Tamandua tetradactyla: one gene and its partner. The protein of the gene in region 1 binds, or shares a complex with, the protein of each later gene. Links are inferred from orthologs where the notes say so. Each region holds a gene or a part of one and is shown in the gene's direction. Other genes may lie near its edges. The genes, in order: PFN2 and VASP.

Region 1 (16,152 bases):
CCAAAATGCCCAGCAACAGCAGAATGGATAAATTAAGGTATCATCACACAATGGAATACCATACAGCAATGAGAGTGAGCAAGCTACAACTATGTGAAACAATATAGATGAATCTCACAAACATATTTAAGCAAAAGAAGCCAGATAGAGTCACGAAATGCCCACTGTGTGAGCCCACTAAATAAAGTTCAAAAACAGGCAAAATTATTCTATGACTTCTAATTAGAAATCAGAAAAGCAGTTAAAATTCTGAGGGGACAATAGTGACTAGACGGGGGCAAGAAAAAGCATACCTGGCAATAGACTTGAATAGACAGTTTTCCAAAGAAGATATACAAATGGCCAGAAAGCACATGAAAAGATGATCAAAACCATTAGCCATCAGGGAAACGCAAATCAAAAACAGAATGAGATGCCATTTCACAGCCATTATAATGGCTGCTAATTTTAAAAAAAGGTAAGTGAACGTTGGAGAAGATGCAGAGAAATAGGAACATCAATCATCGCTGGTGGCAATGTAAAATGTGCAACTGTTGTGGAAGACAGTTTGGCAGTTCCTCAGAAAGCTAAGTGTAGAACTACCACATGACCTGGCAATCGAACTACTAGTTATATATCCAAAATAATTGAAAGCGGGGACTTGGACAGGTATTTACACAATGATGCTCACAGTGGCATTATTCGCAGTTGTCAAAAGATGGAAGCAGCCCAAGTGTCCATCAACTGAAGAATGGGTAAATAAAATGTGATATATACATACAACAGAATGTTATTCAGGTATTAAAAAGGAAAGGAGTCCTAATGCCTGTGACAACCTGGATGAGCACTGAAGACATCATGTTGAGTGAAATAAACCAGATGCAAGAGGACAAATATTGTAAGATCTCACTGATTTAAAACAATCAGAATAAGCAAACTCATAGAGTCAGAATCTAGAATAAAGGTTACCAGGTAATGGGGTGGGGATAGGAAATGGGAAGCGGAGGCTTGAAATATAAAGGGCTCCTGTTTGGAATGATGGAAATGTTTTGGTAATGGATGGTGGTGATGGTAGCACAGCATTGTGAATGCAATTAACAGCACTGAAATATATATCTGAATATGATTAAAAGGGAAAATGTCAGCTTGTATATATGGCAACAGGATAAAATTTTTAAAAAAATTAATGGAACTACACTACACAAAGAGTGAACCCTAAGTTAAACCACGGATTTTAACTAATAATACAATTATAGAAATGTGCTTTCATCAATTGTAACAAATGTTCCACACCCATGCAAGGTGTTGATGGTGTGGGTGTATGGGAATCCTGTATCTTATACAACTTTTCTAACAAAGAAAAAAATAGAAAGGGCACTGATATTGTCCTATTTCTTCATCTGGAAGCTGATTAACTGTGGGAGTTCATTTTGTGAAAACTGGCTCACTTTTCTGCATGTATGCTATGCTAAAACAAAAAGAAAAATTAAATCTATATACTCCTATTATAATGAAGGTGTCATCTTTTGTGTAAGGCCAGTCCTATCCTGTGCTTTGGATCTCAGGCTTTCCTACTATCCCTGAGCCCTGAGCGATGATTTATTCTACTTTCCTACTTCTCTACTAGTGCCATCCCTTCAACCTTTACCATGTTTAACACAGCATTCTCTCTTACTCATATGTCCCTCCCTAACTTTTACCTCCCTGTTATTCTCCCCTTTAGTGTCTAAATACTTCAAAGAGGCAAGTCTCAGCTCCTCTTGCCTTCTATATATTTTCGTTCACCTATTGCAATTCGGTTTACTTTCCCATCATTCACCTAAAGCTGTGCTTGCCAAGTTCCGTAAGTGTCCCTTTGCTAATCCAATGATCATCTTTCAATCCTCCTCTTATCTGACTACTCAGTATAATTTGCTACTTTTGACCATTCCTATCATTTGGAAAAATTCCCTTCCTTGTCATCCATGATCCTACACGCTCCTGATTTCTGAGTACTCATATTCAATTTCCATTGTAAACTCTTCTTCCTTTGCTCATTCCTGAGAAGTTATCTGCAATCCAAATGTTACTTCTAAAGTACAGGGCTGCATATCTAACTGTCTGATGAACATTGTCACTTAGATGTCTCACAACTACTGAAAACTCAGTGTCCAAAATCAGCTAAATAGTTCCCTTCTTAAAGTTGCTCATCTTCCCACGTTACTTGTGCCAGTAAAAAGCACCAACCAGTGCCCAAGCCTGTAATGTATGCTCAGTTTGTAGTTATTGAATAAAACATGCAAGATACAGAATTGTGGGTAGGTTTTCTGCTTCTTGCATTATAGTGGACTAGGCAATATAGAGGAATCTTCCTTCTGCAAAAACAATTAGATAACTGGACTAAAAACTTATTTAAATGTTTTTCTTGGTTCTTAAGAATTAGAAACCTTGAGCAAAAACTGGAGCAGGGATGTTTCAGTTTGCTAATATTGCCAGAATGCAATATACCAAAAATGGATTGGCTTTTACAAAGGGCATTTATTAAGTTACAGATTTACAGTTAGTTCTAAGGCATGAAAATGTCCAAACTAAGGCATTCAGTAAAAGATACCTTCACTCTGAAGAAAGACTGATGTCATCTGAGTTTTTCTTTCACATGGCAATGTCTGCTGTCCTTCTCTCCTGGCTTCTGGTTTCAAGTGGTTCTGATTCCAGTAGCTTTCTCTCTAAGGATCTGTGGGTCCTTAGCTTCCACAGGGCAACTCTAAGTTTTGTCTCTTAGCTTAGCATCTCTTAGTCACTTGGTTCACTCTCTCTGTTCTCTGTGTTGGCCCTCTCCAAGTTCTAGCTATTAATTTTAGTGCCCAGAGTATTTCTGTCTGCATCTCCAAACATGTGTGTCTAGGTGTCTGATTTTTGTATTGGATTTGAGATTTCTTTCTCTCCATGAGCTCTTTTAAGGACTCCAGTAAACTAATTAAGGCCCATCTTGAATGGTAGGGTCACTAGTCCATGGAAATAACCTATTCAAAAGGTCACACCCAAACAATCGGTCTACCCCCACACAACTGGATTAGGATTAAAAGAACATGGCTTTTCTGAAGTACATAACAGTTCCAAACCAGCACAAGGGGTGTGTGAGCAGGTTGGAGAAATGGAGTTGTCCCAAGTGCAAATGTCAATAGCAGCTCTGCGGTGGGGAGCTGAACCAGATGCTCCTGTATTTAGGGGGTACCATCAAAAGAGATTAAAGTAGTCCCAGGTTGTTAACAATCCTTGGGACATAGCAGAAGCAGATACAAATCATCCTTGAAAGAAAGCATCCACAATTTAGGCTATTACAATTTTTCACACATTAAGATCAAACAAATGTAAATTCACAATCTAAGATCATAAAGTATTTAAGCAGGTAAGCCACTGTGGGTGGGATAAGAAACAAACTATTTAGATATTTGAATTGCCAGATAAGGACATAGAATAACTAGGTAAGAAATGTTTAAAGAAATAAAATATGGAACCACAAAGACGGGCAAAAAATAAAAGACTATCAGGAATGATGAGAAAGATATACATAAAAATCAAATGGAACTTCTAAAAATGAAAAATATATTTTTAGAAATCAAAAAGTCTTAATGCAGGAGTTTAACAACAGGTTAAACATAGTTGAAGATTGAACTGGAACATATAACTGAAAAAATTATCCAGAATGCAGCACAAGAGGCAAGAAGATGGAAAATATGAAAGAAACTAAAAGACACAGAAAACAGAAGAAAAAAAATTATTCTGAGCCCTAAGAGAGGAGAACAGAATAGGAAAAGGAGTATTTTGAAGAGATAATGACAGAGAATTTTCAGAAGTGATGATAGGTATAAATCTACTTTCTCAAGTAGAATAAAAGAGATCCAGACCTAGAAACATCAAAGTGAAACTATAGAGCAGCAAAGACAAGAGTAGATTTCAAATGTAGCTAGAGAGGACAGATCATACTTAAAAGAATAGTAGCAATGATGAAAATGATAAGAAAATAGAATATCTTCAGAGTGTCAGTCTAACACTGTAGATCCAACCTATTTGTCAAGAATGAAAGTAATATTTCAAGAATGAAAGACGTTTTCAGATAAGCAAAATCAGAGTTTACCACTGCAGAGACTGAATTACATATCCCCAAAAGACATGTTCTTAATCTGTGTACTCATGAGTATGAATTCATTTGTAATAGGACCCTCTGAAGACATGTCATTAGGTAAGGTGTGGCCCAACTGAATCAGCATATTACTTAATCCACATTACCAGCCCTTCATAAGCAGAAGAAATTTGGATGCAGTGAGCCAGAGGAGTCAGAAGCAGAAATTCAGAGGAAACCAGAAGAGCAAACTCAAGGAGAAAGAGATCACCAGGTGACAGGAGACAGAAATCCAAGTCTAGCAACCCCAAGACTCGTGGCAAGCCAGAGGCAGAACACTATCGACAGTGGGGAGAAAGAATGGCCTTACCAATGACTCAATTTTGGACTTAGGACCTCTGAAACTGTGAGCTGATAATGCTTTTGTTTAAACCAACTCATTGTGTGGTATTTGTCATAGCAGCTTGGCAAATTAAGATAACACCAAGAAAATTCCATTAAAGGAACTTCTAAAAGATATGTGTCAGGAAGAAGTAAAATGGTAACATAATGGTCTATGAGAAAGAATGGTAATTAAGTAAAATAGCAAACATAAATGTATAAATACAGCCATAAACAAAAATCTGTTCAAAATAATAATAGTTTGGAGAGAGGGAGCTAGATTTTAAAACCTTTAGACTGTCTAGTGGGAGGGTTTAACATATTAATTAAAATTAAGCTTTGTTCTATTAAATATGCATGGCAAAATTTCAAGGGTAACAATGAATGAATATTACATATAAATTCCAAATGAGTAGATGAAAAAAGATACACGCACACACAATGTCAATTTTTAAAAAGGAAAGGAAAAGAAATAAACATAGAAATAGCGGGACAAATAAAGTTTCTCCAAACAAGTCCAAATATATGTCCATAATCACGATGATTGTAAATGTCAAATTAGATAAAAAGTAAAAATCCAGCTATGTGAAATTCACAACATCTAAAATTTAACGACAGGGAAAATCTGAGAGTTAAAAAAAAAGGTGGAGTGGGGGGGCATACCACATAAATGGCAATAAAAAGAGAACTGGGATACTCACATCAATATTTGACAAAACAGATTTTAAGACAAAAGAAGTATTAGTGATAAAGAGGGTCCTTACTTAACGATAATTCTAAATTCCTATAACAATTTTAACTTGTATGTCCCTAATCAAGTAGCCCCAAAGTATAGAATGCAAGAATGCACAGAATTTTAGGGTAAAATGGACAAATCTAGAATGATGGGTACTCCTTGGGCTTTACTATAAAAATCATAATTAAAACAATGAATGAATACACTCACAAGATAGCATTTTTATTGTGGGAATAAGGGTGGTTTTTCTTCATTTTTAAAACTTCATTTTTTTTTTTACTTTTGTAATTAAAGCACTTTTTCAAAAACTGAAGTATGGACGTGAAAAATGTAGTTAAAGATTTGAGGTAAATTAATTATAGTCTTACTAGGTTTTGGATAATTACATTCTGCAGTTTTAGTTCTTACTCCATCCTTTACAACTTTGAGTATATTTTAATAGTAACAACTTGTTTCTTTGTGTTTTGCTAAAATGTCAAATGATTTACTTATGGATTTAAATGGCTCAGGCACTACTTGACTTACACATTGTAGAATCTGGTTTACTACACAGCTTTTGTCTTACTAAATAAGAATAAAATAACTTTGGGAAGAAAGTATAACACCCTTCAAATTTAAACATGCTGATTGCTGTATCATTCCCAGAATCTGGATTAGGAGAGCCAGGACTTTTCTCAGCTTCTGCCCAGACATTGCTGTTAGTGCTCTAGGAACCAGTTACCTCGAAAAGAGTAGAGAAAGTCAGTAATTCCTCTTTTCTCCTTATTAGTAACTTCAGTTTACCTATCTTCTTAAGACTCAGTATTCTACCTCTATATCCATACTTTTTGAAACATGTTGAGGTAAGCAACAGTTACATGAAATAGGAAACCCATCATCGTATAGAAGTGAAAAATAAGAAAGGATACCAGAAAGAAAAACTGTGGCTCCAAGGAAAACAGGCACAGGATTGTTTAATCACAGTATTGAAAACAGAGACAGTAAAGGGGCCCCTTCTGAATATATATATATAAAAAAAAAAAAACTGTAAAAATCCGGCTAGTCTATGGTAGGAAATATATTTTTCATAGTTGCTTAAATTTTACTTGTACGCCATCCTGAAAATAATAACACTATGTTGGAAAAGTAAAACAGTAATTTTAAAAATATTGTTACATCTTGAAAAATACAGGAAAAATAAAGATTGGAACTCTAAACTTTTATGAATATTTTATCCAATAGATATGTTTTAGAATCTTTTGAGACTTGAGAGTATTAATTCAGTTGATCTAATTCTTATGCTGTTTTAAAGCCAACAATAAAAAAGGGGAACGGAATGCCATTATTTCCAACTTTTTGCTATAACAAGAGGATAACAAAGCCCAGAAACGAAACCTTAAGAATTCAGAATACAGCACTAAACAAAACCCAATTTCAATACACCTCTTTAAACCGTCATCACTCATTTTTCTTTTCCATTGTTACCTTTTTTGCTTACTGTTTAAATTTTCTGAATCATAATGTACATAGAAAAAGGTGAGCAAATCATAAAAATACAGCCTGATGAATTTTCACGAAGTGAACAACATATCCGTGTCATCAGCACCCTGAAACTATCAAAACTTTTAAGACAATAAAATGCTGAGTGAAGGATTAACACCATCAACCACCACCACAAAATGCAGAGTACTAAAAAGAACCGATTATATGTAACTAACTCAGGCGAGAGGCACACGTACAGAAATGACATTCGGGGCACAATTTTATACCATTTAGATACTGTGTCGTCAAAGCAAGAGAAAAATAATTGTTCCAGCCTGCCAGGTCCCTGACTTGGGGCTCTCCCGGTGTGCGTTTTTCCTCCTCCCTCCCTTTGGTAGCTGTGCATTTCAAAGGAGAAAAACACAAAACCCCAGAATCAATGACACTGCTTTAGCACCTTTCCTAACTGAGCCACAGTCTCGAAGTCCTGTCAGATTGTGACCCTACACGATGACACTAAAGATGACTATCAATTCTCAGGGCTCTAAAGGCACGTCCTCCGCCCCATGACCGGCAGACGGCACACCCTGAGACTGAGGTCACTGCTGGGGGCGTCCGGCCGCGGCGCCCGGGGGTCCCTGAATTCGCTGTGCGGCGGCACCCAGATCACCCGCCAGCAACCCTTACACACGAGCCTTCCCCAGACCCGGGTCCCGAAGCCACTTCACCCTTCAGGAGCAGACATGCCACGGTGTTCATTCAGGGAAACCTTCCCTAGATTTGTGTTCTTTGTATTTTCGGCGACCTCTTCAGCTCATCAGTAACTCTCCTAGTTTCTACCAGTTTGCACAGGAAGCTGTTTGTTCTGCTCGAGGTTTGGAGGTGTTTAGTCACACACCACACGTGACGGGCGACGAGGGGCTCTTCCCCGCAGAGAATCCACAGAGCGCGCGGCTCCTTGTGCCCACAGGAGGCAACAAGGCGGGATCCGCACAGCCACCAACGTCCGCTCGGATCGCAGCTCCCCGAAGCGCGCCCGCTGGGTCGTTTTTACGGCCCACGGACAGAGGCGTTTGCGAGAGAGGAGTTCCACGGGGGCGCCTGGGATAAGCTGGGGGGCTACCTGCCGGCGGCCGCCCCCACCACTGGGCGGGGAAGCGCTCGGCATCCCGTCACCACGACAACCCTGCGATCCGACCCCCAGGCTCGCGACCTCGGCATCCCAGACTTCGGGCGAAGGAGAGAAGAGGTGCAACACAGAGGAGACTCCGAGACATCCCTACCGCCGCCGCGGTCGCCAGGACGCCGAGGGCGATGGGGGCGACGCCCTCCCCGCCGCCCGGGTCCAAGGCTCAGCCGCCCCCAGGCACCCAGCAATTCCCAGACAGCGCTTCTCGCACGTGGCAACCGTGATTGTCCCAGAGCGGTATCCCTCCGCGCCCCGCCGCGCCCCTCCCCCCTCCCTTCCCGGGACCCTCCGTGTCCGGGCGCCGCGGAAGGATCACACGCACACGCGCGCACGCTCCGCCGGCCGCGGCGAGCTAAAGGTGCCGCGCTGAAGAGAAGCCGCCGTCGCTATCGCCGCCGCTGTGGGCAGCGCAGCTCCGCAGTCTCCCGCCGTTGGTTAGCCGGCCTCGCGGCTGCGGGTGGACAACTGGCCCGGGCGCTCTCGGCGGCTGCCTCTCCTTGCCGGCCCCGCGTCCTCCCGCCGCAGCTCCTCGGGGAGGGGGGCGGTCGGTACTTGCGCAGAGCCGCCTCCTCCCCGCCCCCGCCCCGCCTCCTCCCGCGCTGCCGCCGCCCGCCACAGCCGCCGCTGCGCCTGCTGCTCCTCGCCGTCCCCGCTGCAGTGCGAAGGGCTCGAAGATGGCCGGTTGGCAGAGCTACGTGGATAACCTGATGTGTGATGGCTGCTGCCAGGAGGCCGCCATTGTCGGCTACTGCGACGCCAAATACGTCTGGGCAGCCACAGCCGGGGGCGTCTTCCAGAGCATTACGGTGAGGACCCGCGGGCGGCCCGGACCCCATCCCCGGCCCCGCCGGCCGACCGCGCCGCAGCCCGGGGCTAGGCAGGAAGGGCCACGCCGGCAGGTGTGCGAGGAGGCGGGCGCCGAGGCCAGAGCCAGGGGACGCCCCCTCGCCTGGGCTGCCCTGACAGTCGGAGGAGGCGGCCGGGCTCCCCACTGCCCGCGCCTGCCGGGGCCCGGCGTCCCCCGCGTCCCCGGTGCAGCTGTGGGTGCCCGGCTGGGGGGAGGGGTCGCCCCGGGCGGGCGGGGGTGTTTTATCTGCTCTCTGCGGCTCCCCAGAACCTCTGGAAGTCCGGGGTTTGCTTTGCCTGTCCCAGGGTGGACACGGGGTCCGGGGGTTCTGGGCCTGGGAGCTCAGGGTGCGGGTGGGGGTCCTCGGGCCGTAGGGCCACCGCGCCGTACCGACAGTGCTCCTCCCGCGCAGCGGGGCTGGAGGAGGCGGCCCGGCCCCCGGGATTCTCGAAGCGGCTTTGCGTAGATGTGCTGGTGTCCAGGCCTCCGGGGCTTGAGAGAAATGTACGCCAACCACGTAGGTGGATTCGTGAATCTCGACTTCGGCTCTGGCACTGTGGGATTTTTTTTTTTTTTTTTAATTCTCCAAGATGGCGAACTGCCATTGATTTCTCTCCTCCTGTGGAGATTTATCGATATACCGTTATCTCCAGTTACGCAACATAGCTCTAAAAAGGGGATGCATTTAGGGTTTTTGATAATCTGGGAAGACCGGTGACACTTCACTTCTCCAAGCCCCTCCCTCCTTAGTGATGGTATTAAAGGAACTAATGCAGATTTATGCTTCACAGTGCGGTTTTGTTGTGACTTGATGGCTTTGACTTGGTTGCCACATGTTTGGGACATATTTAGTCACCGGGCCTCCAGCGCTGCTTATTGTTTTGCCTATTTCTGCCCAAGGCTCTATCTCAAATTGTGAAATTGAATTACGAGCCCATTCTCTAATTTCTTAGTCCCACTCTCTCTTCCCACCAAACACTAAGATTGGTGCTACTAATTATCCCTTTACTACTTAACACGGTTTAAGATTTAATGGTACAAAACTCGGTCCTTCATGGTAGTACTTGCAGGTCTCCTGTACCCTTTGTGGGCTACAATTAAAGACAATTGGCATCTGATGATCAACTTTTTCTCTACAGTCTTCTTGTCTTTGTGTGCGAGTTCCCGCTGTATGGCTGGAAAGATTGCGGGAGTGTGCTTGGAAATGGCTGGGGCCTGCTATGACTCTGCAGTTCTGATGGGGGCGACGCCTTCCTTCTTATTCATGGAATTTTAGAATGCATGCTTTCTCCTTTCCGGTTCTGATGGCTACCTCAGTTTCTTTCCCAGTCTCCCTCCATTTTCTCTATTCCTTTACCATTGCCTACTGCAGTGTTACACATAGAATCCTCTTTGCTTTTGTCCAGAGAGTAAACTGATTACTAAAATGGGAAGGGATACTGGAAACAAAGAGTAGTAGTTAGAAAAAAAAGGGATGAAGGAAATAGGAATTTGGAAAATGCACTGAGGTCTGATTGTTAAAGTTCATACCCTAGGGAATATTTCCAGCTATCCAGAGTAGAAAAGGGAACATATTTGCTAGAGCAGGGGCCTAATTTAGGCAGGCTTTCAAACAACTTTTAAGTGTGGTGCAGCAACATTGTGATGTTACTAATATGATAGACAAGCTGTTGTTGAAAGAGTTTATAGCTGAATCTTTACTATTAGATAAGCACCTTCAGGCACCACTTGACACAGTTTATAAATAACTCAAGTTTGCAATTTGTCTAGTGTCCAACTACCAACTATTTAGAGAAATTTTTTGTAAAGGTTGATTTTTAATTAGCAGACTACTGTTAATAGTGAAATCAGAACAACTGACATGAAATATTATTCAAATACAATTTTTTTGGAAAATACTGAGACTGAATCTTGATTTTAGATTCGTGAAGTGTCTTATAGTGGTGGTAGTACAAACTTGGCGTACAATCTTTCCTGTTATATTGAGACCTGAAAGGAATTAACTATAACTTCATGTGTTTTTTTTTTCTTTTTCTTCTTTCTTTTTTTGGGGGCAGCCAATAGAAATAGATATGATTGTAGGAAAAGACCGGGAAGGTTTCTTTACCAATGGTTTGACTCTTGGTGCAAAGAAGTGCTCAGTGATCAGAGATAGTCTATATGTCGATGGTGACTGCACAATGGACATCCGGACAAAAAGTCAAGGTGGAGAGCCAACATACAACGTTGCGGTAGGCAGAGCTGGTAGAGGTAAGCAAAGTGCTCTTTTAGTTAAAAATTGCATGCCACATTACAACTTATTGAGCAGTTTCTTTAACATTTTGAATGAAGATGTTAGTCCATAATGGCTATTAAGGTGGTTTTTGAGAACTGCCCAGCACTGAAGGGAGGCACTACTTTCATTTATTTACTGTATGCAGCTGCACATAGATCCTAGACTCTGATTATGACTTTAATCTAAAACAGAGTATCATATCAGTTTTTTCATTTTCAGCTTTACAAACTTAAAATCTAAATTTTTCTCATTAAACTGCTTGACATGTGGAGTGATAATCCTGTGGTATATCCAGATTGTTAAATTGTACATCATTTGTTTAATTTAGTTCAATTCTCTGATATTTGGAACTCTTCCTTCTCTTTCTTGCTTGCATTTTAATCTTTTCACTAAGAATAGAGAAGGAAAAATTAAAATTGGTTCACTTTTCTTTTCCTGGGGAGAGAGATAATTAGCATGATGGTTTTGGAGGAAATTGTCCCATTCACTAAAATATTTAAAATTGTTAGTAAAATATTTTCAAAGATTATGTTTCTGAGGTTTACACTTATAAAGTATAGGAAATAACATTTAATTTGTTTAATTGGTCCCCAGTTCTGGTGCTCCTGATGTCAAAATCGCAGAAAGTCTTAATTCACTAAAGGATTCTTTTACTGCTCTTTTGAAAGAAACTTTCTAGAAATTGAGGCTTATCCTGGCATCTGATTTATTTACAAATACATTTAAATGTGTTAACCTTTGTAAATATTGTGTAAATCAAGAGGGTTTCTGTCATCTCAGGTAACAAACTTAGCACATCCAATATTAAGACCAGATCTGGTATGTGAAGGGATTTGAAGTAGTCCTGAGCTGTAATTTAATGCTGTGGTTTTGCTGACTCCCTATGGTTGTCCAAAAGGTTACGCTTAATCTGTGGGAGTTGATATTTATGAATGTTTCTGTATGGAAAGATTAGGTGATTCTGAATAGTAGATCTCTAAACATTAGCTGAGCTCAGGCAAATGCAAAAAAGTATCAACCATGTGTCATTAAACCCCGAGATTTACGTACCACATAACACTACTGACATCTAGCGGCAGTGAATATAAAATTTGACATATACAGACATTTTGGGGAGAAACTGAATTGCATCCTAGAAGAACCTGTTGTGACAAATAGTGAACTGTTGTTACAAGTAGTAAACCTGTTTCAGTATTTTAGACAGCTAAAAACAAAGCTAGCACAGTTAGGATATCAGGAGGTATACAAGCTTTAAATACTTGTAATTTGTTCCTTTCAAAATGACACTGAAAAGGCTATTTGAAATTTGGTCTCATTTTTCCTCTGGAAGTGATAGGCACATTTAGCCTCACTGATGAATCTTAATAGTTTGTACTTATCAAGCATTTCAGATTTTGGAAACATTTTGTAAATATATAATTTCTGTAACTTTTTAAAGTTTATTTTTCTGTGGCTAATATTTGTGCCACATCAGCCAGATGTTTTTTCCCCTAGAATTGAAGATAAAGTGATCAGGCTTTTTTTTTTTTTTTCTAGCTAGTGTACAGATAGTTGTGTAGAGCTCTGCAGCTGCATTGATTAGACTTCCAGGATACAGCCAGGGTTTACTGTTGGTCTGTTTTTAGCATATTATTACTAGCTTTAAAATTATCTTTTTTTGGAGACCTAATTGACTTCAGTGCTTGACAGTTCATGGAAAACTAACTTAATGTTAACTTATTAAACTGGGTTCTGTCTGCTAAAACTTAAGTGACTTTTCTTGATTAACACTTCTTTTGAAACACTTTTCTTCTTTCTCTTTCAGTCTTGGTCTTTGTAATGGGAAAAGAAGGGGTCCATGGAGGCGGATTGAATAAGAAGGCATACTCAATGGCAAAATACTTGAGAGACTCTGGGTTCTAGCTGCTAGGCAGACTGTTTAAGTATTAGGGGAAAATTGCTCTTAAACTTTCCTAGCTGTAAGCTTGAGTCTTAATTCTGGAAACTTTATTAGCAATGCAGGGTGATGGGGTATGAACCTGTGTCTCCTTTGTATCCCTCTGTTGGTGGGGAAAGGTGTCTTTCTTTCTGCCCTCCCCCCCCTTAAATAATTCTGTTCACTTTTGTTTTGTTTCCTTGTGTACTCCAGCATTGGTTATAGTCATGGGAAAGGAAGGTGTCCACGGAGGCACACTTAACAAGAAAGCATATGAACTCGCTTTATACCTGAGGAGGTCTGATGTGTAAGCAGCCTCTCCCCATCTACCTAGCAACTGTCTTCATCACCACCCAATTATGTTCACAGTGCTACCAGACTATAGATGGTGGCTAATTTTTCTTTACCAATTTTGAAATGTCATGATTCCTGTTTGCCCAATGGATCATCTGTATGTTAATCACTGTATGTAACCAACCCTTATCTGGCAACATAATTGCAGCACAATAATGATTTGCATGATACCTTGAAATTTGGGGGGAGGGGGCATGCCAAGTTGGGCATCATTTTGTATTAGCAATTAATGGGATATTGATTACTAAAATAAGTTAATATTAAGCAAGGTGCCAGTGTACAATCTCTAATTTGATCAGTGTCTTCAGCACTTTGAGCTTTTACTTGGCTCACTTAGTCTTCCTTTTGTAGCGCATGATTGGGAGGAAAAAGTGCATGCATCTTTCCTTACTCCTCTCTTTTCCCACCCCTCCCTTTGCACATAAAGTATTTGGTTTGCTTTCATCTTATCTTAGCAGTGCCTGGTTTATTTAACCAATTAATACCCTTTTTGTTGATGAGCTACTGAGAGCTGCAGTAGTTTGCTTTTAGTATTGTTGTTGCACTTGAGTTAGAGACAAACTTTTTCATAGTATCCATAGGACATATGAAGAGTACAACTGCAAAACAAGAGCAAAAGGCACTTCCTCCCATGACTTTACAGTAAAACATACTGATTGAATCCCCAGGGACATTCCATCATTACAGTAGCTCAGATTTTTGGTTCCTGTCTTTTTCTTTGCACACCAGCTCTACTCTTTAGTAAAATTGTAAAAGGCTGCCATTATGGACATTAGGTGTCCCAACATAACCATCTGGAGTGTGTCCAGTTTGTTATTCATAGGACCAATTTTTATTTGCAGCTTAAGTTTTTATATGAAGTTGCATTATTGTGGACTTGGCTGTCTTGTGATGACTTTTTTTTCCCACATGTATTCTGTGCCATACTATTGTTAAAATGAACTGTTGCTATTGTGAGATGGATTTTAACTGACTTACTGAGGATTTCTTTCGAATGGCACTACTTTAGGGATATTCTAGTATTTGCTTTCATTGTTTGGGCCTTGTGGATAATGTACAGATTTAAAAACAAATCTTGTTGCTGATTTGTCCATTTCTTTCCCTGCACTTTGTTACATCTGGGATACAGTCTAACTCATCTGATTTAATATGCATTTAAAAAAATGCCATAACTATTAAACACCTTGTTTACAGACAGATGAAATAAATTTATTCCAACCAAATAATCTAGACTCTTGTTGTTTATATAAATTAACTTACTGTTACAGTTGATTTTTGACATAGTGGAAATATACAAAATAGGCCAAAGTTTGCTATAGCTACAAAATCTTAACAATTGAAAATTTAGTTGATGGCCTACTTCATTTCAGGTAGTATCTATTATAAATAAAATTAGTGCCTAGGAATTTCTGATGGGCATTGATCTATTAAAAATGACTTCCAGTGATTTCAGGCTCATATTCAGGCTTATTAGAGGAAAACTGACTTATTTTATTGAAAATAAGTATTTTCCTCTTGAGGCTGGTCTCCAGTGAAATCTGGGTGGTGAAAGGGCCCAAGAACCAAGAAGGGTTTCTGCTCAGTTGTGGATCCTTCTGTGTTGAAACATCTTTTGACTTTAGACTTGGAGGCTGTGTTGGCAGGCTGGGGTCAGCCAGCTGGTATTTTCCTACATAGGAGCAGAAGACATTCCCTAGGGAGCATATAAGAGCATTGGGATGCTTCTGCGGTTCCTGATTTTGGAGTGGCATGTTAACTGATGGCTGTACCCTGGGATGCATTGAAGTTTAGAAACTATGTGAAGTTTAATATTCTTTAAATAAGTCATTATCATGAGCTGTCAAGCCAGAAGCTCAGCAAAGGTGCTGAAAAGTCAGTGGGTCTAATCAAAACTGGGGAGGTGGGTTCTGAGGATCCCCTCGGAGATGAAGATTCCTTAGGCCCCAGGGAGTTGCTTTTGAGAAACAATCTCCAGGTCACTCGGATTTCCATGGCTTGTTTCTCAAAGACTATCCTTTGAGAAACTGGTTTAGGGAATAAGTAGTAATATCCTTGCCGTACTTATATGAAGAATAACTAAAAGTTTTTCTTTACCAGTGTTGTCAGGCATTAGTAGTCATGAATCTGACTACATATGAAGATGTAAAAGTATGGAAGACAGGATTTGGGGCTATTTTAGTAGTTGGGCGTATCCCAGAAATCATAAAACATCATCAAGAAAAACCTGCTATCAGTTTGTTGACCTGTTAAGATCTCTGTTGGGGACAGAAGGGTGGACAAATGAAAATTTGGCTGTTGGGTTGTGATGATTTGAGATGTTACAGTAATACACATTCATATTTCATTTGTGAAGAATTATTAGGGTGGTTAATTATAGGCAGTGACCAAAGTTGTGAAATCCTTAACTAACCTAATAAGTAGGTGAGGTAGTGGGTAGGGGGACGCAAATAGGGAATTAAAAGACACAGGTCCACTGTATGTATATAAGTAATTACTTATAATAACCAAACTTGGCAAACTTTACAAGGTTCAAATTGGAGAAGTATAGGTTGAATGATTGTAAATCCATCCATAAGGATAAAACAGTCGCTGAAGTGCCAGAGACCCAGGTTTGATTCCTGGTGCCTGCCCATGCAAAAATTAAAAGTCACCTAAGAATGATAGCAGAAAATGTTAACCATTGAATGTTAAATAATATGAGGATATAAACAGATTTTACACATAATGTAAATATAAATAGTATAAAATAATAATATGTATTTTACATATTTCTGAAGGTACCATATCAAGATGTTTATGCCTGGGATAAAGGTTCCAGGTGACTGATTTTTGAGTTTATGCCTGGGATAAAGGTCCCAGGTGACTATATTTTTGAGTTTATGCCTGGGATAAAGGTTCCAGGTGACTGTATTT
Region 2 (15,232 bases), on another chromosome or scaffold:
ATGGCCCCCCTCGGGCCTGCATCGGGACCCCCGCCCACTCCGGCCGCGCCGCCCTGGGCCCAGGGCCGCGAGCGCTCATCTCCGTCGCGCCCACGCCGCAGCCTCCATCCTCTTCCTTTTCTTGGACCGCTCCAGCCGCCGCCGCCGCCGCCCTCTGTACGGCGCGGCTGGGGCGGGCGGGGCAGCGGTGGGGAAAGGCACTGCAGCGCGGGGACCGTGGGCGGAGCCAGAGAAACAGGAGGGGCGGAGCCGGTGGGCGGGCGAGGGGGCGGGGAAGCACCGAGGCGCGTTAGGGTTGAGGGTGTGGTGGGGGGCGGGGAAAGCGCGGGAGGGGGAAGGACGAAGGGCTGTGTCTTGACTTTAGGGGGCGTGCCTTTGGGGGTCCGAAGCTGGGGTAGGTTGAGGGCTGGGAGAGAGAAAGAGGAAGGAGCCTAGGCAAAGAGAATGGAGGAGTGCACCTCAGAGTGGGCTGGGGCGCTAGGGGCAACACCGATAAATTGATGGAAAGGTTCTAATAATCGGAGGTAGGCTCCGAACCGAGATTAGCAGAGGGAGTGGAGCCAGGGAAAGGAAGAGGTAAGAAACTACTCAGTTTCGAGGCAAAGACAAAGAGGAGGAGCTAAAAGATGGGAGGAGCTACGCCAATTTAGAATATTCAGATAATTGGGCGGGGTCATGCCTGAGAAGTCAGAGCAGAGGCCGGGCTGAGAGGGAATAGGAAAGAAAACGGAAGGGAGGGGACCCGAATGTGGACTTAACCTGGAGAGAGGAGGCCCCCTGAGACAAGCCAGAGTATGGGGGCTGGGCCTGGGGTTAAGAGGCGGGGGTAGAGACGGGGCTAGCATTGCAAAATTAGAGGGGGTCTGAGGCCCTAGAATTGAATGGACAGACTAGACCCGGAAAGAAACAAGAGGTCAGAAGGGAGGGATCTAACCAAAAAAGTCAGGGATTTTTGAAGTTGGGGGCGGCATCGCTGAGGCGGGAGGAGTTTGAATAGAACAGGGCTGGGGATCAGAAGCCAAAAGCGTGTTGTGGTTAACAGCACGGATTCTAGAATTCGATTCCCGATGACACCAAGTCATCGGCTATGAGTTGGTGTTTCTTTATGACTCTTGTCTCTTCTCTAAATTGAAAACAATGATGTAAAATAGTGTGTGGCACATTGTAAGTGTTAGACCATCGTTTTCTATTATTGTGGCTTTCCTGACCCAGATCCCAAAGCCAGCCCGCTTTGAAGATGCGGGAGAGCAGAGTTCCTTCAAGCAACTCGACTTGAAGTACAGGTCAGGGGCATAGGAAGGGAATTTAGGTGCTTTAAAATCTCATAACAGAGCGAATTAATGGCGGGGGTGGGACGGTTAGGTGGGGACAGCTGTAGAGGATGATCCCACCAGAGAAGGATGGCGGCCCTCACCCGCCTGCAGGAGGGTCTCCTCTGGCCAGCTCCCAAGGAAGAGGAGGAGACGGAGCGCAGCACACCGGGCGGGCCTCAGTCCCTCTAGGCGGCGCCGCGTTGCGCTCAGCGGCTACATGGGGGTGTGGCGGCGGCGTGGGGCCTGCGCTTCGAGGAGAGCGCTGAGCAGGGCTGGAGCGCGCTCATGGAGGATGCGCAGTGCGCTTGGCTAGCACTGCCCGAGCTGCCTCCTGGCTGGGCCTTCTTTGCGGTCTGGACCGCCACCGCGGGGCGCGAGCCGCCCTTTTTGGCGCTCGCCGCCTGTCGGGCCACGTGCACGAAGCGCTGGGCCCGGCGCCCTGGGAGCCAGAGATGTGCTCCCAGCGGTGCGCCGCGCCTTCCTGAGCGCGGACGCGCGCTTGCGTGGGCTCTGGCCCCGCGGCGAGCCGGGCGGCTCCACCGCCTAAGCGCTGTTGGTTTCCCGGCGCTTCCTGTATCTGGCGCACTGCGGTGACTCCCGCGCGGAAGTGAACCGTGCCGGCGCCCTGGTCTTCAGCACCAAGGACTATCAGCCCATCCAACCCCGAGAGCGCGAGCGCATCCACGACGCGGGCTGCACCGTCTGCCGCCGGCGCCTAGAGGGCTTTCTTGCCGTGTCGCGAGCGCTGGGCGACTTTGCCTACAAGGAGGCTCCAGGGAGGCCCCCCGAACTGCAACTCGTGTCCGCGGAGCCCGAGGTGGCCGCCTTGGCCCGCCAGACAGAGGACGGCGTATGGGACGTTATATATGTCAGAGCCCTGGCAGAACTGGTGGCCTCGCCTCCGCTTGGGCCTGGCGCCGGAGCTTCTCTGCGCGCAGCTGTTGGCACGTGTCTGTGCAAGGTCCTGGGGGTAGAGTGTGGAGGGGACGGCATTTGGGATAAATGGGGCTTGGCGCTGGGAGGAGGGGTTTTTCTAGAAAGCAGGAGAAAAACTAGAGGAGCGGTGGAATTTCACTAAAGGGCGTGGCCTGTTGGAAAGGGGCAGAGCCAAATTACGCCGAGGAGAGAGCGTGAGGGATGCCTTGAATTTGGATGGGAGAGTAGTGGGGTTTAGATTGGTTAGTGAGAGAGATTTAAGAGAAAGCGTGGTCTTTTGGAAAGGGGAGAAGCAGGGATGGAGGGCGGGGCCTGAGAAATGATGGGTACCTGATGAAGGAAGAGCAGTTGGACTGCAAAGTGGGTGGAGCTCCGGGGAAAGGGCGTGGCCCTCTGCTACAGGGCGGGACTAGGACAGCTAGACAGTGCTGAAAGGTTCTGGTAGAAGGAGACCCGCAGATACCCGGGCCTTCAGCGAAATGGGGATCACGGATTCGGGAGGAGGGCCCAGAACAGCAGGACTGTAAGGAAGGCGGAGACCCGGCCTGGGGTTTTCAACCCTCTCCCGCCGGGCTCCCTTTTCTTCTCTACCTTCGCCAGGGCAGCCTGGATAACAAGACCTGCATCCTCGTTTGCTTCCCGGGGGCGTCCGGGCCTTGTGAGGAGGCGATCCGGGTGGAGCTAGCGCTGTACACCGCCCTGGGACACAGGGTCGCGGGTGAGTTAGCTCCGGGAGCCCAATGGGAGGGAAGGTCGGCAAACAGGGGTTCCCCCATTACTCTCATCTCCCTCTCAGAGCTGTGCACCCTTGCCCAGGAGACCCCCAGCCTGAACACGATTTTCAGGACTCTGGCCTCGGAGGACATCCTGGATTTACCCCCCAGGGGGAGGGCTGGACTGTAAGTGAGTGGAGGTGGGTTGGGGAGGGGTTTGGGGGAGGGGTAGTAGGTGGAGGGTCCCCTCCTGAGGGCCTCCCCCTGCTCCCCAGGGCCACTGTGATCGCTGAAGCATATGCTCAGATCTGTCACTCAGAAGAGTGCTGGGAGGTAAGGCCCCTGTGTTCTTGAATGTTTCTCTTAGTCCCTCTCTCCCCTTTAGAGATGGGGAAAGTGAGGCCACAGAGGAAAAGCAACTTGCCTGCTCTATTAGTAAATTCCTACCCCTGACCCGGAAGCACTTTGCCTCAAAGTGGCATAACAATGGGCTACAGAAGAGAAAGAACTTCCCTTCCAAAAAATACACCTCCTGGAAATGCTCTGTAAAGCCCCATCATCCCAGGCACAGCCCCCTGGAATGTCTTATCCCCTAGGAATAAGATAAATTCTGGAAATGGTAACAAGGACCCCAAGGCCTGGGGTGCCCTGCAGAGACTATCAAGATGACATCCTGAGGATGGATGACCCAGGTCTCCAATGGCTAGAGGAGAGGTGGCACGGTGGGGTGTGTGGGGCATCAGGGAGGAAATGAAAGGGGGGGAAGCTGGAAATCACATCCCAGAGGACTTTGCATGATTGGGGGAGGGCATCTGGTTTTTTGTTCTTCAGACAAAGGGGGATTGTTGATGGGTTTTCAGTAGCCAAGGATGGTATTGGTCACGATTGTTTGATTTGTGAATGATAGAAACCCAAGGCAACCAGGGTAAAGCAAACAGGAAATTTACTGGGTCACACACAAAACTGGAAAGCTCAGGAACTTAAGGTGGCTGGAGCCATTTCTCAGATGATCTCATCAGGGACCCATCTCTTAGCTCTCTGTTCTGAGGTAGTAGAGAGCTGCAGCACATCCCACCAGCTTACACTCGTGGTGGAGAGAGTGGGCCTGTTTCCCAGAAGTTCTAGCAATCCTCCCAGAGCTGGTTCTCATTGACCAAACTGGGCCACATGCATGACTGGTTACTATGCCTCTTACTGTGTCACGTGCCCAACCTAGCACTGGGGATTGGGGTCCTCTCCACCCAAACCTGATTGATTGAGAGATGGGAAAGGGTGGCCCTTCAAAGGAAAAGAGGGTGCTGCTTCCAGAAGACAGGCAAGTGGAGGCTGAGAAGGCAGGAAAGGGTTCCTATTCACTGTCTCCCACATTTTGTGTTACAGCTGGGACAGAGCAGGGCTGGGGAGCCGACCAGCACCCATCAGGCTCTGCCTTGGGTCTGGAGGCCTGACAGCTGTCATCCTTTGGAGACTCTCCACCCAGCTGGGGCCTCAACGGAACTAAGGAAGAAAACCGCTCCCTTCCCCAGCTACATGGACCAACGGAAGAGAGACAGGCTGATGGAAGAACCCCAGAATGCTTATTTCCCTCTCTCCTAGTTCCCCATCAATGAAAAGTCAGTTCAATAACCTTCCCTTTCCTTCCCATTCTTCCTGTGGTTTTGAGGGGAGGGTAGAAGGGCAGTTTTTTTTTTTCTTTATTATTAAATTTTAATTACAGAGGCAATTCAAAATGCATTTTTTTTCTTGTAGAAAACAAACATCATTTACGCAGTCACTTGGCAAATATGCATTGGCCATACATATTTGTGAGTCCTTGCTCACACCATGAAGAAGGTAGATCCACCGAGCCCTACTCCTGGGGACCTCCTGGGGGGGAGGGGGAGGTGGGACAGCAAACAGGCGTGCCAAATAAATAAGGTCATCTCAGACACTGATGAGTGTCATGGGGAAAATAAAACAAGGTGGTGTGATAAAAAGGCTAGGGGAGCTACTTTGGTTGTTTAAATTGGTATTCATCTATTTCCTCAATGGGTAATACATTCACTTAGTTTGAAATTCAGAAGGTGCAAAATGGCATAGTGTGAGAAGTCTGATGGAAAAGGAGCCAGATATGCGAACAGCCCAGGGAATGGTATTCCAAGGTTCAGGTAACAGCCAATGCAGAGGCTGGCATTTTGGAGATAAGGTTTGGGATCTCTGTGACTACCAAGGACCCCATAATCCCATCCGTATTTCCAAGGGTAAACTACAGTCATGAGTCAGGAGTGAACTTTTCCAGGTTTTTCATTCTGCCTGTAAACATATGTACATGTACTCTAGCAAATATATGATACCTTTGGTGTTTCCTTGCTTGGTTTCAGACTGTATCACTTGGCAACTTACTTTTCCCACTTGACAATATGTTGGAGACTTTTTCCATGTTATTGCACGCATTCTTTTAGCGGCTGTACAGTGCTTCAGAGAAGATGTGCAATGGTTTAGCTATCTCTCTTCCTGTTGCTGGACATTTAGGCTATTTCCAATTCCTTGCCCTAAGAGCATTGCTGCCACAAAGATCAGGCTCCTTGTGTTTATAAGCAAAGATTTCTCCAGTGCAGGAGTCTTGCTCCCCATTTTGTATGACACTTGAGCTAAGAATGCTTTTTATATTTCTACACAGTTGTTTGAAAAATAATAATAATATGCAAAAGAGATCTCATGTGAACCACAAAGCTCAAATATTTACTATATTAGACCTTTATAGAAAAAGTTGGCTGACCCCAGAAGTGCCACCCTTCCCATTTCACAGATGGAAAAGTTGAGACCCAGAGAAAAGACTTGCCAAAGTCACACAGAACTGGGGTTCTCATTCAGTTGGATAAATGTTTGTTTGCCCCAGCTCAGACCTTGCTGGGCTGGGTGAGGCCCAGAAGTCGATCAAGTCTACCCCTGCCCCCAAAGAACTCACAGCCCCAGGAAACACAGTTACACACAATTACAATCTAGGTGCTTCAGGGCTCAAGGTCCCCAGGGCAGCTGGAGGAGGGGACGAGGTTACTCGATTCCCCAGAGAAGAATCAAAGTAATAGCTTGGTCTAGAAGGGTGAGCCCCTAGGTGACGGACCCGACTGCATCCTAGCCTAGCTTGGACAAGGGCTGGGAAGGTTGATTTCCTCACCTGCTCTGTTGGGCCACGAGAATTTTGGTTTCACAATCACACCTCGGCTTTTGCAAGCGGGCCATAATCCAAATTTGTCCCTTCCTCCGGGCCTCAGTTTACCCGTTTGTTAAGGTCGAACTCCCGATTTGCCAGACGCCAGCCCTCCGGCTAAGGCACTTCACGCGGGCCAGGGGGCGCTCTTTGGAGGGTGTGGTCACATCGGTGACGTCACTCGGGGCGGGGCCTGCGGGACCCGCTGCGGAAGCCTAGGACTGTGTTTGAGCTCAGCCCGGGGCCGGCGCATTGGAGAGGGAGGTCTCAGGAACCGGCACCCGGGAGGATCTCCCGACCTCTGGGCTCTCCCGGCTGCTGGGATGATCCGTCTGTCCTCTGCGAGCGAAACTGAATCAGGGCGGGGTGTACCTGTGGAAAGGGCCAAAGGCCGGAGTCCCAGCCCGAGCCAGGGCCGGCGTCGGCCCCCACCCCACCCCCGCCCGCCTCGCCAACCACTCAACTCTACCCCCACCCCCGACCCTGCGGCTGTGAGTCAGCGACCGGCCGCGCCCCCTCGGCCCACTTCCTCCTCATCTTCCTCCCGCGGGCGAGGCGGGCGGGGGGCGGTGAGAGGGGCGGGGCCCTGCCCACCCGTCCCCTTCCTGCGCGGGGATCGGGGGGCACCCCTCAGTAACCCCTTATAGCTTGGCAGTGAAGACAAGAGATGCTGAGGGTCCTAAGGTGGCGTTTCAGGACGAAAATGTGAGGAAGTCACATTTTCCTTAACAGAGGGTTCTGCTTCCTTCTCCCCCACCCCCAAAATTGAGCCTAAGATAAAGAAATGGGGAGATCGATGGGGGGAGGGTGAGAAGGAAGAAATCGTGCCCCCATTTAGATCCCCCTAAGAAGTCCTATCCTGGGGGAGAACTACGGAACAAGGAAGGACCCTTTCCCTCCACCTAGCATCACCCCAATTTGGGGGTGACCCCCAGAGTGCATCCCTGTGCAATAACTTCGGGGCAGAGGGAAATAGCGGAAGTGGAGGGTCTACGTTGCCCTTTTAAGCGCCCTCCACCCCTCCCCTCTCCGCCTCGCGGTGGCCGCGGCCCCTTTAAGGCGCGGGGCATTGTGGGTGCGGGGAGTGGAATTTTGGAACGAAATGTAGCGAAGAGAAGTACAGTAGTAAGAGTAACGTTGTAGCCGCTGCCCGCCCGGGGGGCGCGCCGGGGAGGGCACGCCGCACCCGCTTTCTGCTTCAGGGACCCCCATCAAACCCCCAAGGGAAGGAGGCGCCCGAGGACCCGCCCCATCCCGGTCCACGTTCCCCCCAGGAAGCCGGACTCTATGGGGCGGGACCCTGGGGGAGACTGAGCAGAACGTGGAGCCAGCCCCGAACCCCTGAACCTCCAGCCAGGGGCGCCCCGGGAGTCCCCAGCCGGTGGGCGCGCCACCCGCCAGCCGAGCAGCCATGAGGTGAGCAGTGAACTGCCTCCGACCTTCCCCGCCCTGCGCGGGCTCCCCGCCCCGCCTTTGTCCCCCCTCCCCCAGCTCTCTCCGGGATGCAATTTGGGGACCCGGCACTGGGAGCCTCAGATTTGGAGCCGAACCCCTTTGGACGAGCTCCAAGTTATGGTCAGTTCCCCATGACTTCCAAGACTCGGTGTGGTGCCGGTGAGGTTCTCTCTTAGGAGCACTCAGATTTGGGGGCTCTCCGAATTTTAGATTTCCTCCCGGGATCTCCAAGTTGGCAGATTCTCCCTGCACGGATACCCAGAATTTAGGCAGGGCGTAGAGTCTCCCCCGAACCTCAACTTGAAGTCTGGGAGGGATTGTGGGGGGCTGGGTTGGGGGATCCGGGGTCTCGGAAGAGAGGCTAAGACATAGAGCCCGGTTACTGGGGTTCCTCTTTACTTGGTGCTGGAAAAAGTCTCCCCAAGTGGAAACGCGCTCCCTAACTTCAGGGTACTTCTTAATCCCTTGCATTTTGGGGGGGCGGGGCGGGAGGACATTCAGAACCTCCTGTGGAGAGGAGGTTGGTGCGGATGGACGGACCCGGATGCAGCCTCGAGGGTCTGGTTGGGACTCCCCTTTCCCGTCCCTCTCGGTCCAGAATCGTTCCGTGCCCTAGACGGAGCGAGCGCCGAGGGCGGCTCCCGGGCTTGGGGCCAGAAGGGCGGTCCCTCTCCCCCACCTGCGCGGCTCTGGGGAAGGAGGGGCGTCGCGGCAGCTGGGGGACGGGGGCCTTTGTCTTCCTGACTCACCTGTCGAGACAGCTGGTGTGGGGGGCGGGCTAGAAGCGCCCTGGGCCGGCTGCTTTCCCCACCCCGACCCCTCCCTCGTCACCCGTAACCCTCCTCCTGCCAGGCTCTCGGGAGCTATGAGGTTGGTGGGGGGGTGCAAGAAAGCTTCAAGGTCATAGCCCTCTCCCCCTGGGACCCAGGCTTGCCAGATAGTTCCAGCTGTCTTCTTAGGAATTTAATCCTGGGATGGGGGTGGCCCAAGGGATCCAGAGATTTTGTTTTACCAGCCCCCACCCCCCCAAAAAAAGTCCTGAACTCACCTGACGCCGGGAACTGGGGCGGGCTGCCCAGACTAGCCCACCATACTCTCCACCTCCCCCCCTGCCCCCGGCCCCCCATCCTAATTCCCTTGGGGCTGCAGCCTGACAATACTATCTCCCTTCCTCCAAGCTCTCAGAGACTTCCTGCCCCAAAGCCCCCAGCCTGAGGGGGAGGCCCCTGGGGACAGCTGGGGATTAACCCCCGGGTGCCCACACACTCCCATTTCCCCCACACTCCTGCCCTCTGACATCGGGGTGGCATTCCTGTTTATGACCATTAGGGCCGCCCCCTCCGGTTTGAGCCTTCTGATGGGAAAGGGATGGTTTGGAGCCAGGGGGGGCACCCATTGACACCCTCAAGGCTTCCTGCCTATCCTTCCCCACCCCCCACCCCCAGTGACATCCATGTCCCCTCTAGGTCTGCCCAGGATGGGGGGAAGGGTACGGTGTGCAGTAGCTAGGCTCTCTTCACCCTCTTCCCCCGGGACTCCCCTCTCCCACTGCCCCCAGCCCCACCCCCACCCGCGCGTTTCCGGTCCCAGGCACCGAGGAAGGCGGATGGCGGATGTCCGAGTTAGTGCTGCCTCACTCGCTGCGAGACCGTAAAAGGGCAGGAGCAGCAGCAGCAGCGCCCGGGCCGGGCCTCTGCCCCCCCCACCCCACCCCTGGCCCTCCCAAAGGGGCCCCCTCCTGCTGGGGCTGTGGCCAAACCTCTCGCCTGCTGGGGGTGGGGTGGAGTGGCAGGCCGAAGTTGAAGAGGGTCACTCCTACTTCCTGAGGGGTCTCCTCTGCAGGCCACTAAATCCACCTTCTTGGGCTGTACCTCTTCTGCAGGTACAGCTGGGATTCCAGACCCAGGTCCCTAACCCCAGCTGGGGAAACTGAGGCACAGAGAGACAGGCCTGGCTCAAGGTCACTCTGCAAATCCTAGGCAATTGGTAGGGGTGGGGCGGTGGGTGGGGTGGGGTGCTGGGGTCCATTCCTCAGATTTCTGGGTTGTTTGCCTGGGTTCACTTGTGGGGGCAGCTGGAAGGGAGGATGTTAAAATGGAAAATTACAAGATAAATTGCTTTTTCTCCCAGTTTGACAAATATTTGTCGAATGTCTGCTGTGTACCGTACTCTGAGCTGGGATTCTGGGAGGGCCAGAAAGGGGGAACAGAGTTCTGAGCATCTGGGGTGGAAGGAACTCAGGAAGAAATCGCATTCATTTTGTTCCTTTTCCAATAGTGGTAATTATTATTATTTTTATGAATTAAAAAGAAGGGCCTTTGATCACACATCTGCTTTGTGCTAGGTACTGTACTAGGTGCCTGATTCTTCTTAATCCTCACAAAAGTCCTAAGAGCTTGGCACTTTTACGACCCTCTCACCCCAGTTTATAGATGGGAAAACTGAGAAACTGAGAAGCTAAGCAAATTGCCTGTGGAAGTTAAACTGTTTGGAAGTGGCCAAGCAGAGTTTGAATCCAGGGCTGTCTGTCTCCCAACTATCATGTTATTAAAGAAAGGGGAAAATAAAACCTTTATTTATTAAGTACAAATAACCCACTTTCACTATAGGAACACTTAAGATAATACAGATAAATAAAAAGAAATGGGCAGGAAACTTTACCTTCCTGTTCACTTGTGGGAAACTGAGGGCCATGGGGGAAGGGAGACTAGAATGAAGACACAAGCCCCACAGGCAGGGCTGGGACTCCCGATCTGGTTTCCTACCCCAGGTTGCCTCAACTCCAGGAAGATTTGCGGTTTGGGAAGCTTTTGTGTATGGGGGAGGGAGGGCAGGAGGAGGGGGTGTCACAAGTTTTATGACATAAGGAGGCTATGGGGTAAGTCTTGGGCAGGGGATAAAGGGAAGAGCAGGACTCTAGTCTGGAAAGTTTGAGTAAACCTGAGTCTCTGTGCTTGATTACCTCCAATGATTAGGAAGCTCTTTCCCTCCCGTTCCAACTCCCAATTCTCTTGTGTGGAGGGTGTGCTGTGTTCTAGGCCCTGTGTGGAGGGTTTTTGCCCATTACCTTTTTCTTTTTTTACATGGGCAGGCACTGGGAATTGAACATGGTCTCTGGCATAGCAGGTGAGAACTCTGCATGCTGAGCTACCATGGCCCGCCCCCCATGACCTGTTTTAATCCTCATTACAAGTACAATGAATTATGGTTTCCGGGACTGGAAACCATAATTTTCTGAGGTTCCGAGAGGTGAAGCCATACAACAGGGAGGTAACTTGAATCTTTCTGCATCCACCCAGTGCTAGAGTTTTTCAAAATGTGACTTCTGGCGGGGGTGGGGGGGTGGGGGCAGGTCCTGGTCACCCCAGGGGTTAAGGCTCTTCCATGTCGCCACATCGAGGGGTGTGAGACCACTGGAGCCAGGTGGATCCTGCCTGCTTTTATCTCGCCACCACTACCGCCCCCCCGCCCCCCACTTCCTGGCTGTACGATTTTCTGTTTTGCCTTTAACCAGTATATAGAGTTTTAGCTTTTTACACTTAAGTAACGACTTACTTTAAACAGGTAATACCAGCCCAAGGTAGCATAATCATCAAGCAGTTCAAATGGGTAAAGAGTGCAAAATACCTGTTTCCTCCCTCCCCAGGGCCCCAAGCTCCTTCTCAGAAGGCAGCCACAGTTCATCTCCTGCGAAGCAGCCTCTGCGTATATCACCACTCTGCAGAAGTATTTATATCTCCCCACCTTTTTTTTAAACCTCTGATACACACCACTTTGTATCTTGCCTTTTAGAAATTGTAACTTGGCTGTTTTCTCACCTATAAATGAGGTTAAGAACTTGGGTGGATGTGCATTCAAATCCTAGCCCCTCTGCTTACTTGCTCTGTGGCCTGGGGAAGGTGTCTTCACCTCTCTGTGCCCACATTTCTTCATCTGTCAAGAGGGTATAACGTCAGAGCTGAGCTCCTGAGGTGGTTGTGAGGTTCAGTAGGGAAATCAGAGCCTAGGGTCTAGAACAGTGTCTGGGACCCAGTCAAACTGAAAAATGGCAGCTGACGTGAAGAACTTTTCCAGTTATTTAACAGACGTGTTTATGTAACTACTAGGTGCTGTGTGCTATTCTAGGTCCTGGGGCACAGCAGTGGACAAAAGGGACAAATGTGGACCTGGCATTCTGGTGGGAGAGGGAATTAGTAAACAGAAATACCATATCAAATAAGGATGGCTACTATGAAGAAACGTACAGCTGGGGTGAGAGAGGAGAGTATCCATTCTAGACAGGGTAGTCAGGGGGGCTTCTCAGAAGAGGCGGCATCTAAACAGAAACCCGAAGGAGAGGGAAATCTAGGCTTGAGGAAGAACAAGTCCATAGGCCCTGAGGCAGGAGTGTATCCGGCATGTTGAAGGAGCAGCACAGAGGCCAGTGGGACTGGCCTAGAGCAAGCCAGTGTGGGGGGCAGATCAAAAAGATATGGGGGTAGGGAGGCAACAGAGTGCACAGGCAGTGGTTCCTCTGCAGGAGCCAGGAGACCGTCAGGGGTACTTTTGAGAAGAGGAGGGATATAATGGGATTTGTATTTTCACAGGATCCCTCTGTGCTGATGGGGACACACTGACTTGGCGAGGACAGGAGCAGTCCCCGGGTCCCGCAGCAGGCGCCCAGCTCTCCGGCCAAGCCAGAGACTCAGCAGAGCAGGGCCCCCTGGGAGAGCAAAGTGCAGTCAGGGTGGGGCCATGCCAGCAGCCCTGGGCATCTGGCCAGTCTGCCCTGGGCGTGGGTGGCAGGTGTGGGCGAGGCCATAGCCCTGCCAGGGGCATTGCAGAAATGGCCCCCGAGGCTGTGCTTGTCATGAAGCAGCACCTGGTGAGGGGTAGGGATCCTGCAGTTCCTGGTAGTTTATACACTGTGGCCTTGGAAACCCAGGAGCCTGGGTTCAAATCCTTCTGTACTCACTAGCTGTGTGGTTTGGGCAAGTCACTCAGCCTCTCTGGGCCCCAGTTTGCAGTCCACACCTGCAAAATGAGGGCAGAATAATAGTGCTCACTTCAGTGAGAATGACATGAGTGGTTCTGGGTAAAGGGTTTAGAAGCCTGAAGCACTTAAGAAGAGGGAACTGCCACAATTATGTAAACTTGGTGTGAGGGGTCAGCTGCCGACCAAATGACCTGGTTTTGGTTCTATTGAGGGTCTGTCCCTGCCCTGTTCCTGGGGGCTGGGGCTGGGGAGGGAGGCCTTTCACAGCCATGGCACCCCAGGGCACCCTGTACGCACCCTCCCTCAACAGAGCCATTATAGGGGTATAATTTTTCTCCCCTGAAACCTCCAACCACCAACTTCCTCTTTTCAGGAAAAAACCTGTGGGGGTGGGGCGGGGGCCAGAGCTTCCCCTTGGTCTGTGTGTGACTTTGGGCAAGTCACTTCCCCAGCGAGTTTCCTCACTGGGGGGAGGGGAGGATTGAACTTCCCTGCAGAGACTGGTGGGGGGTCCCAGGGATGCAGGTGCCTGTCCAGGATGTGCCAGGAGTGACTCGCCCCCACTGTGCCTGGGAATGGGACTGTCGCAGGACTGTCACCTCCCTAGTGTGCAAGGCAGGGGAGATGCCTTCCAGAGTGGGAGGGGCGCTTGCCTGAGTCACAGGGAAGAGGTGGCTCAGTAGAGGTTTGAACTCAGATGTAGTGGACATCAGCTCCTGAACTCTGCACCGCTGGCAGTTTACTGTGCCCTCCCTGCAAGGCTGAGTCAAACACCGCCTTGTCCAGGAAGCCCTCCCTGACTCCCAGATTGGGGCAAGCGCCTCCTCTGGGCTCTCCAGACTCCCCCAAGTTGTCCGTGTCTGGGCACGGCTCTTTCTCCCACACTGGACTGTGAGCCCCAAGAAGGTGGGAGCAGGGCTGTCGTGTTCACTGCCATGTTGTCCCCAGCATGGGCCTGACATGGACAAGAGGCTCAGGTAGTATCTGCTGAATGGCTCTTAGGGTGCTGGAGGGCCCTTTGAATGAGGTAGGCAGTGGGAACCTGACTTCCTCTGGGGGAGATCATCCCTGACTTGCTAAGGACCTCACCCCCTTTGCCCTGCTCAGCCCCAGCTTCCTCCTCTGATGAGTGGAGACCAAGGAGGGGCCAGGCACCCCAGAGCAGATAAGGAAACTGAGGTCCCAAGAGCTGCCCAGGGCTCCTGCCCCCAACCACACCACTCTCCTTTTCCTGTGGGTTCCATTATCTGCATCTCTCTCCAACTCTGTGTCTGTCTTGGTCTCTCTGCTCATCTCCCTGTCTTTCTCCATCTCTGTCTCCCCATCTTTATCTCGGTGTGTCTGGCTCTTTCTCCAACCCCCTGCCTGTTCATCTGGTTTCCCCCCATCCCTCCCCTGTCCATGTTTCAGTCTGTCTCTCCCCCCTCTCTCCCTGTTTGTCTGTCTGTCTCTACCTCTCCCTGTCTCTTTCTCACCATCTGTCTCCCTCCTTCCTGTTCCGTTTTGTCTCTTTATTTCTCTCTTTTCATCTGTTTTCTTCTCCCAGTCTCTGTCTATCCCTTGGTCTGTTCTGTGGCTGTGTGAGGGCCTCCCCATCTGCCCCTCTACCCTTGCCTGTGTGTGTGTGTGTCCGTGTCCTCCTCCTACACTTTCTCTTGCAGTCTTGCAGGGAGACCCAGAGGGAGAAGGTGAGTGGCCCCATGGCTAACTGGCCCCTGGCCCTTCTCCCCCTGCCCCCTTCCCGGCAGTGAGATGGTCATCTGCTCCAGCCGGGCCACCGTGATGCTCTACGATGACAGCAACAAGCGATGGCTGCCTGCCGGCACGGGCCCCCAGGCCTTCAGCCGCGTGCAGATCTACCACAACCCCACAGCCAATTCCTTCCGCGTCGTTGGCCGAAAGATGCAGCCTGACCAGCAGGTGAAGCCGCCTTCCCTCCCCTGGGGCCACCGCCCCCTGCCCCCGACCCCCACCCCTCACCCTGCCGTCCCCTCCTACCAGGTGGTCATCAACTGTGCCATCGTCCGGGGTGTCAAGTATAACCAGGCCACCCCCAACTTCCATCAGTGGCGCGATGCCCGCCAGGTCTGGGGCCTCAACTTTGGGAGCAAAGAGGACGCAGCACAGTTCGCCACGGGCATGGCCAGTGCCCTAGAGGCCCTGGAAGGTTAGAAATGGGCGGGCGCAGGGCGGGTGGAGGGGGACCTGCTGTGTGGCCTGGGGCTGCAGCTTCACCACCCTGGGCCTCAGTTTCTCTCCTGGAATGGGTCTAACTCACTCCTCTCCTGGGCCCTGGCTGCACCCATGTATACGGCCCGTGTTTCCTGGGGCCACAGCTCGATGAACTGCTACATATGCGCCCTGCTGGGTGGTGCCTCCCAGATTGAGAGAACATCCCAGCACCTGCGGTGGGGGGTATGGACTCCGCGCCCCTTCCCAGCCGCCACCCCCTGGCGCTACTGTCCTAACAGCATCATCCCCATCAGTTAGCTTTCAGGGATCGATGCGTATATTTTTAAGTCTCTTCAGCTGGTGTTTCTTACGCTTTAATGCACCAACGAATCACCTGGGGATCCGGTGAAAATGCAGAGTCTGGTTCGGTAGGGCTGGGGCAGGGCCGTGGAGGATCCTTTGGGGACCGAGGCTTTTG

The links.
Region 2: the proteins of PFN2 (region 1) and VASP are in contact, whole or in part, in a crystal structure (PDB 2V8C), measured with the Mus musculus proteins. The link is inferred for Tamandua tetradactyla from reciprocal best matches to the Homo sapiens genes PFN2 and VASP. Residues at the interface, in NP_062283.1 of Mus musculus: Gly3, Trp4, Ser6, Tyr7, Asn10, Cys13, Tyr30, Trp32, Met131, Tyr134, Ser138, Phe140; in NP_033525.2 of Mus musculus: Gly165, Pro166, Pro167, Pro168, Pro169, Pro170, Gly171, Pro172, Pro173, Pro174, Pro175, Pro176.

Annotation. Positions count from the first base shown.
Region 1 is NC_135331.1:43,204,993-43,221,144, reverse strand, and holds PFN2 (profilin-2), read left to right. Parts: upstream 1-8,441; 5' UTR 8,442-8,522; coding exon 8,523-8,654; intron 8,655-10,752; coding exon 10,753-10,945; intron 10,946-12,774; coding exon of another isoform or gene 12,775-12,872; exon of another isoform or gene 12,873-13,098; coding exon 13,099-13,196; 3' UTR 13,197-14,465; downstream 14,466-16,152. UniProt on the Homo sapiens protein: Binds to actin and affects the structure of the cytoskeleton. At high concentrations, profilin prevents the polymerization of actin, whereas it enhances it at low concentrations. By binding to PIP2, it inhibits the formation of IP3 and DG.
Region 2 is NC_135342.1:15,504,956-15,520,187, reverse strand, and holds the start of VASP (vasodilator-stimulated phosphoprotein), read left to right. Parts: upstream 1-7,213; 5' UTR 7,214-7,563; coding exon 7,564-7,568; intron 7,569-9,336; exon of another isoform or gene 9,337-9,489; intron 9,490-14,330; coding exon 14,331-14,502; intron 14,503-14,583; coding exon 14,584-14,749; intron 14,750-15,232. Other genes in the region: RTN2 (reticulon-2), read right to left, coding at 1-2. UniProt on the Homo sapiens protein: Ena/VASP proteins are actin-associated proteins involved in a range of processes dependent on cytoskeleton remodeling and cell polarity such as axon guidance, lamellipodial and filopodial dynamics, platelet activation and cell migration.